Linked DNA regions of Tribolium castaneum. The protein of the gene in region 1 purifies or fractionates together with the protein of each later gene. This does not show direct contact. Links are inferred from orthologs where the notes say so. Each region holds a gene or a part of one and is shown on either strand. Other genes may lie near its edges. The genes, in order: E3 ubiquitin-protein ligase Godzilla and g.

Region 1 (3,926 bases):
GGGCCGTAAGTGTTGAAAATGCGGGCCACCCGCACCTGCATGTTTTCCTGCTTGGCATAAGCATAAGTTAAAGTCTCTGAGACTCGTTTGCCTTCGTCGTAACACGCGCGAGGGCCTACAAACTGCAAAAGTAACAAAGGGGAAAAACGACACCGTCGCCAACCTATGGGATTGACATGTCCCCAGTACGTCTCGGGCTGGGGGTGGATGTCGGGGTCTCCGTACACTTCCGAAGTGCTGGCGATTAGAATTTTGGCGTTCAGTCTTCTGGCAAGGCCTAGCATGTTAATTGTACCTAAAGTGTTAGTTTTGATGGTTTTGACCGGGTTGTACATGTAATGGGGGGGACTAGCGGGGCTTGCGAGATGGTAGATCTCGTCGACTTCAATAAATAAAGGATTGACTATGTCGTGGTGAATTAATTCGAAATTCTCGTGACCTATCCAGTGCTCGACGTTGCGCTTCCGCCCCGTGAAAAAATTATCAGCGACGATGACTTCATGACCTTGCAGCATTAATCTATCAACTAGGTGTGACCCCACGAAACCGGCACCGCCAGTTATCTACAAAACGTTTTTACTCTTCATTGACAGTCCCGGGGGGCACTTTGTACCAAAATACGTTTTCGCGAGAGGTAGTTTAGGAACTTAACTTCGGGGTACGTCTTGGGCACCCTTGCCTCAAGAGCTAGGATTTTATTTTCCAAGTCTTGAATTCGCTCGGACGCTTCTTGCAGAAGGTGCTTGTTGTACTCAAGCTCGTCCTGATACAGGTGCAAATTGTGCACATTTTCGGCCGACCTTTGCCGGCTGTATTTAATAAAAACCAACAACACTGCAACAACCCAACATAACCTATAAAACAAGCGACAATTTATTTCCCTTACAAATCGATAAGGACGCTAGTAGTACAAGCAAGTGTTTGATTTTCCAAGTAACCTGAATCATGTTACGCAACGATATCGCATTTTTTATCCATTAAAAACGCCTAATTGGGTTTAAAATTGACAATCACTGACGACACATCGTGTGATTGGCACGCCTGTGTGTCAGCTGTGCCACCAGAAATGTCAAAAAATCGTTTCTCAAAAGTGCTGCTGTTTATTTTTTGAAGTTTTTTCCCGATTACGGGCGCTAATCCGGTTAACAGTGATCGAATCGCCCCGAGGCCGATGCCCCCCGGCGCCCACCCCAAAGCCCCCGCATGTCGCTCGAGTAAAGTGCGTTAATTATTTTATTTACAAAGACGTAATTTGAAGGTTGACTGTTTGACATATTAATTAAGCATCCTACAATAACAATATCGGATTGCTCATTATCTCCGTAAATTCCCTCATTATTATGATAAAATCGAGCCAAGAGCCCGTTTAGGGGTGGCTGTTTTGACCAAATCAAACTTTACTTAGTGATAAATTATGTGATAGTTGGATTTTTATACAAATAACATGAAGAAACCGGAGTTAATCTGCCTGCTGTGCGTGCTCCAGTACACCTCGGCCGAAATCTACGCTATACGATTCGTAAGTCTTCCAAAAAAGCCAATAGTAACTCATCATTTCGCTTTTAAGGACTCGCAGTTCTACTTTGACGAATTCGAGGATGTCCCTGCCAGTTTTGGGAAGAAATTGTCAGATGGAGGTAAACACTATCAATCAGCACTAGGTCATAAGATTGCGTATCTTATCACAAGCGTAAATTAAACGCTGTAAACTTTAATGCGTGTTTACACAACCGTTCAATTTTTGGAAAAAACAAGCGGTTATGCAACACGTTATGCATTTCTATGGCCCATTACTTTATTTATTACCATTTGGACAATACGTAATGAATGCTTTGCAGCGGTTGAAAAATTCTATTAGTCACAGCTTTGATTATTTTTTGCCTTGTGGGAGTGTAAATCCACGGTGTCATCATGTCTATATTTAATTTTTTGCTCAATAATAGATAAATGTATCAAAATAATACAAAATTACTTGGTTTGTTTATTACATACGTTTATTATCTAACAACGCAACATAATCGTTGCACGAAATTTGAAAAAATTGCCGTCTAAAATAACGATAGAAAATTTCAGACACACAGAAAATTCGCTCCCAATTATTCATAGCAGTATTCAATAAAAAATACTTATAATAATTATCTACATTAATTTTAAAAGTTACAACGGTAACTACTTCACAAAGATAGAGCAGTGTTGGACAACCTGAGTCCTGAAAACAGCCCAGGTTCAAAATGCCCAAGGGCAGAAAATTTTTTTAGGGTTGTTATTTTATGACTAAGGCGAAAAGTAATTTTCGCTTAGTTCGGTTTGTTTCGTTCGAAAAACTCAGTTTGGCCGAATTCGGTTCATCTCCGATAGCGAGTAAATAACGTAATCGCAGCTTTGGGGTCACTTGATAGCTGCCCGAGTACCAATTTCGACTTTTTCACGCCAGTCTTTTGTTCGTTTGTGTTCAGTGGTTCGCGGCGTCTTGGTGAACGCCGACCCTCCTGACGGCTGCACCAGCGCCCTGAAGCCGCCCCCCAAAGACGTGGAGAACGAGACGGGGCGATGGATCGTGCTGATGCCGCGCTATAACGACGTTTTGAATTGTTCTTTCGAGCAAAAGGTCCGCATGGGTCAGGGGGCTGGTTACGACGCCGTCGTGGTCCACAATGTCCACTCGAACCAGCTGGTTCCAATGTCGGCGAAAAACGACACCGGAATTAACATTCCTTCAGTATTTGTGAGCGAATCTTCCGGCTCGACGCTGAAATCGATCTACGCCAATCCGCAATATTTCATCGTGATCACCGGGGAATCACCGTTTAATATTCAGACGCATCTCCTGATCCCGTTTGCGATTGTCGTGGGGATTTGTTTTATCGTAATGATTATCTTTCTGGTGGTGAAGTGTATTAAAGACAGGAGGAGGCAGAGGAGACATCGCTTGCCCACGTCCACGCTTAATAAAATTCCGATTTGTAAATACCAAAAGGGGGATCCGTACGAGACGTGCGCCATTTGTCTTGATGACTACATCGAGGGCGAGAAGCTCAGAGTTCTTCCATGCAATCACGGTAATTTTTTCTGACTTTGTATTAAAGTGTCTGTTGTTTGTCGTCTTTTACATTGACTTGACTTAACAGTAGCCAAATAAATTACTGTCAAAGTGTTACTTTTATCGTAATCATTGGCTGATATTGTTTTTTGGCGTTTAAAATTTTTCATACTCTCAACAGTAACGAAATGTGCGACAAAGACAAGTATTACCAAAATTATTATTCTGTTTTTAACGGTTTTTGTAATCTGTTTAATTCGAAAAATAGAATTGATTAGACGTTTAGAATTTGCGCCAGCGGAATAATTTTTCTAACAAAAAAAAATTAAAATTTGTCTAAATACATACTCCCTCTTCCAAGAAAAAGCTCAAGCAAAACTGAAAAATCACAGAATTCTGCACTTTATTATTAAAAAATAACTTTTGTTGTGTACTACTCATTTGTAAATTTCTTTCCGAATTTTTTCTACAATTTTTTATAATACTATAATTAGAAGTATGTACGAGTATTAATTAATTAATACTAATTCGCTGCACTCTAAAAAAATTTTTTGATTGATCCATTTTTTTTCGAGAATTTTGAATGAAAAAATTTGTTCGCAATCATAAAAACACTGACTGACGTAATTTCAAATTCACTGGTTAGAAATCTAGTCGATAAAACAAACGGTGTTTAAATGTTGTTTTTTGCAAACAAAACGTAAAATAATAATTAATTCATTAAAACTAATTTAAAATAATTATAATTTTTTACGAATGTCACGTATTTGTTGTACAAAATATTATTTAAGCATCACTTGTTTGAAAATAATAATAATAATAAAGGGCTTTTATTAAATAAAATTAACAATAATAAAAAAATGAGAAGGAAAGTCTAACTTGAAGC
Region 2 (3,926 bases), on another chromosome or scaffold:
ATCGCCAAAAGGCCCAAATATTTCACTGGAAGTCGGTTGTTAAGGCGCTGATTACGAATTAATGGAGCGAGTGACGTGATTATTGTTAAAATAATTTAAGAAAAAAAAAACACATGACTCGCCCCACGCTAAACTTACAATTCTGGTCGGAATCTTCAATCAAAATCCGCAGTTTTTGGACACAGAGTTGTATGCTAGCGGCGTGATTGGGCATTCCTGACGATATTGTTATCAAAACTGCTATAACCGTATTTATACACTCATATAAGAGACTCATTGCCGAAGTGCTACAATAATTAAAACAATTATGATAAAACAAAGGGCGCAACCCTACCTGTGTATGAGATTAGTCAAAGGCTCAATCAACTTTTGACCTAGCCTAGGTTCAAGAGGCGTTAAAGCACCGAACTAAAATAAAAAGCGTTGTTTTCTTTATCAAAGGACCTAATCCAGTTAATTTAAAAAAAATACGGAGAACTATATGCTAGGAGGCGAAACGAGATACAAAATAATTCGACTTTTTTTGTACCCAAAAATATATTAATTACTTTTATTATTTATTCATTACTACTGTCTAAAATTTTCAAGATAAATATGAGAAAAAGCATTTTCCAAATCTTTCAAATTCTTCTAATCTTAGACTACAATTTTTTTTAAAGAATATTTAATTCTCTACAACTTAGTTCCTTACCTTTTTTATATCTTCAACCTTATTTATAAGAGCGTATTAGAAATAGGGAGTAAAGGGGTAAAAGTACTATATCTTCTATATTTCAAAAAATAATTAGTAATCGAAGATAAGACTGGTCTGTAACGCAATTCTCCTTTAAATAAAATTAGTATAAAAAGATTTAAACGCACTACTTTCAGTTTTTTCCTATAATATAGACTTTTTTCAAATATTTTTTTCTTTTCTCAAAATTTTTTTTTTGTTTTTTATGTGTGTGCATATAAAATAAAAAAAAGATTGAAAACTACCAGGGAATCCTCAGAGAATTTTTTATTCCTATAAGGGGCTGAAAAATATAACATGTCTTTTCAATTTTTTTTATTCTCCCTTAGATTTTTGGTAAAAAATCTTAGCACAGTATCGATAGACATGAAAGGTTTCTTCAAGAAATATTACACATATAGATAAGTAACGATATTATAGGAAATAGTCAAAAGATCGTCAGATGCAATGATAGCATACTTTAAAATAGCATACGTTAAAACTTTAATGAAAAATATGAAAAAGAAAAAAAATAAAAAATGCTATAGTCAATTTTTTAAATGATTTATAGAGGTTTGGAACAAATTATACCATTAGTTATAAATTATTGTCCCAATTATTAACTTTACAGTTATAGTTTTAAGTAAAATCAACGATTTAAAAAAAGTTATTTTTTGAAGAGCAGTATAATAAGCTTTTACTACTATTAAATACTTTATTTTTTCTGTATACTTGTAATTTTTTTCAAAATTTGTCTATAATAGTTATTCTTTATAATCAAAAATAATTATTTAATACTGAGTCGCTGAATATATATTTTTTTTAATTATTTGTAATGAGTAATGAATTAGTTTGATATTCTTTTACTAAAGAACAGTTAGCTTTACGGCATAAAAATAACAATAAAAATACGTCAGTCAAATATTTTTCAGTTACATTTAGTTGCCATTCACTCAATTTAATTTATTTTATTTTATTAAAAAATTTAATTATTAATTTATAATCGCAAATTTAAAAAATTATTCCGATCAAGTCTGTGCTACACAATATATTTTTTAATATTGCGCCATCTGCCGTCGGTGATGGAACTCCCAAAAACGGGGACATTTTATTCGTACATCGTCCCGCATCCTAGTATTTAGTTGTCCGTAGTCAAAAAAATACGAACTACTTACCAGTTTGATTATTTTAATTAGCATCCAATTATTGGTGCTTGTGGTCATTAATTTGAAAAAAACTGGGGCCAGACTTAGATAATTTTTGGGGTTTTTTCGTGCCAGTTCACACACAACATTGACTGCAGCCGACTGAACCCCCGGATCGGGGTCCTCTAACTTTTCTTTTAGTTTAGGAAAGGCAGGACGTAGGGCTTCGGGATATTTGAGGAACACTTTATACATCATTAGAACGGCTTTTTTCCGAATGTAGGGTTTAGTGGAACTTAACTAAAAGCAACAATTAGTTGTGTTTGATTAAATGACTTGGGTAGTTACAAGAGTTAAAATATCGTTTGAAAGGTCTCTGGCCAAGTCAGTGCTGATGTAACAGCTGAGGGACGTCAAGGCCAGCCCCGATTCGTACTGATTTTGCGAGTTTAACTCCTTCCTAATCATATTAGTGGTCAACATGAGCAACTAAAATCCCAATTAATCAACGTTTTAATCGGACTTAATTACCCCACCTCTGAATCACAATGAAACGATTGACTAGCCGCGAGATAACCGATCCGTTTCAGCGTAAATTTACTCGAACTCATCACTTCGATTATGTTAAAGCCGGCCCACGAAATATCGTACCCCAGCATTTGCAACTAAAAACCACAATCAATCGAAATCATTTACCAAATCACTCACATAAGTCAATTTCGCGATTGCGTTACTCTTAACTGAGAGATTATCCTGTCGCAGCTCCTGCTTGATATCCTCCATGCATTGCGAGATGTACTTCGCCTACAATCAAGGGGGCAACTAACATAACCTCGTTTTTTGCACAAACCTCATTCTCCTTATTATTGCGGATCCCGCGGACCAAATCGGTCAAATTCTTGTCGAACATGCGTTCAATGTTCCCTTTAACCTTCTTTAAGGCCATTTTGCGTAAAAAACTGACTAAATCAAATCAGGGGGCGACACAGCCACCCGACCAGTTTGTTCGAATTGGGGCAATAGTTCCGCACAGAATCGCCCGAATTTCAGTTCTTTCATATCACAGGATGTTTTAAAGGGGCGCTCGAGCGTTCGCCCCAGTTTTTTACTTTTCGTAGCCACGTTGACAACTGACAAGTTAATGACAGATGACAGTGGCGGCTCGTCAAAATAACACACAATAAACGCGTTCCTAGCCCTTGACGAGTCGTATAATTGATCAAAACTGGTGATTTTATCCCTGGGGGAGGTTCACCGACCGGTTGTTACCCCCAAAACTGTTTTTTACCAAATGTGGTGACATAACCTCAAAAAATGTTGCATAACGTGGGGGCGAAAATAAACGAGTTTTTGAATAAACGTTCGGTGAAATATGGTTTGCCGTTTCTTCTTGTGGTTTTGGGGGGTTCGTTCGGGCTCCGTGAATTTGCACAGTTGAGGTATCAGTTTTCACGAGTCTCCAGTGTTAAGCCCGAAGAAATGAAGAAATTGGGGATTGAAATGAAGAAACCGGGCGAAGTCACGCTCGAGTCGGAGTACGAGAAGATCAAGAAGATTGATATCGATAATTGGGAGCAGGTCAGGGGGCCCCGGCCGTGGGAGGAGCAGACAACGCAATAACTTAACTATTAGTTTGTAAATAATAAAAAGCGATTGGATGTTCATATATTTTTATTCCCATGCACATATTCCATGTAACACTTTAATAAGACACCTTAGGATATTACAAATGACACACTTATTAAAAGTTTCGTCAAAATATTGCTTCACAAATTGCAATAAAGAGCTTTATTACCGACAACCTCCCTCGGGACGGTCTCTCAATCAATTCTAAAATGATAATATTGTCAAGTAATTGACACAATTCCCTAAAACTACATAATTGCTTATCAAGGGTCGTGGCGTTATTGTCAATCAGGGGGCCACTTATTTACAAAAATAATTGTTCTTGTCGGTAATAAAATAAAGTTTAAAATGTGTCTACCTATGACATTGAATGTTTAAAAATCGTGTTCCGTGTCCGTTGCCTTGTCGTTGTGGGGGTGGTCTAGTGTGCGGGGGCCTCGCGT

The links.
Region 2: the proteins of E3 ubiquitin-protein ligase Godzilla (region 1) and g purify together in Homo sapiens (affinity purification with mass spectrometry; 3 studies listed by BioGRID and IntAct, counting the BioPlex papers as one, with this or other methods). This does not show direct contact. The link is inferred for Tribolium castaneum from reciprocal best matches to the Homo sapiens genes RNF13 and AP3D1.

Annotation. Positions count from the first base shown.
Region 1 is NC_087398.1:4,233,484-4,237,409, reverse strand, and holds the start of E3 ubiquitin-protein ligase Godzilla, read left to right. Parts: upstream 1-1,378; 5' UTR 1,379-1,444; coding exon 1,445-1,519; intron 1,520-1,567; coding exon 1,568-1,637; intron 1,638-2,456; coding exon 2,457-3,059; intron 3,060-3,926. Other genes in the region: Uxs (UDP-glucuronic acid decarboxylase 1), read right to left, coding at 1-115, 164-563, 614-834, 887-947. UniProt on the Homo sapiens protein: E3 ubiquitin-protein ligase that regulates cell proliferation. Involved in apoptosis regulation. Mediates ER stress-induced activation of JNK signaling pathway and apoptosis by promoting ERN1 activation and splicing of XBP1 mRNA.
Region 2 is NC_087401.1:15,047,146-15,051,071, reverse strand, and holds the start of g (AP-3 complex subunit delta), read right to left. Parts: upstream 2,848-3,926; 5' UTR 2,804-2,847; coding exon 2,708-2,803; intron 2,662-2,707; coding exon 2,566-2,661; intron 2,523-2,565; coding exon 2,394-2,522; intron 2,347-2,393; coding exon 2,206-2,346; intron 2,158-2,205; coding exon 1,888-2,157; intron 409-1,887; coding exon 335-408; intron 288-334; coding exon 139-287; intron 26-138; coding exon 1-25. Other genes in the region: l(3)neo43 (cytochrome c oxidase assembly protein COX16 homolog, mitochondrial), read left to right, coding at 3,172-3,477; uncharacterized protein Proc, read right to left, coding at 3,905-3,926. UniProt on the Homo sapiens protein: Part of the AP-3 complex, an adaptor-related complex which is not clathrin-associated. The complex is associated with the Golgi region as well as more peripheral structures.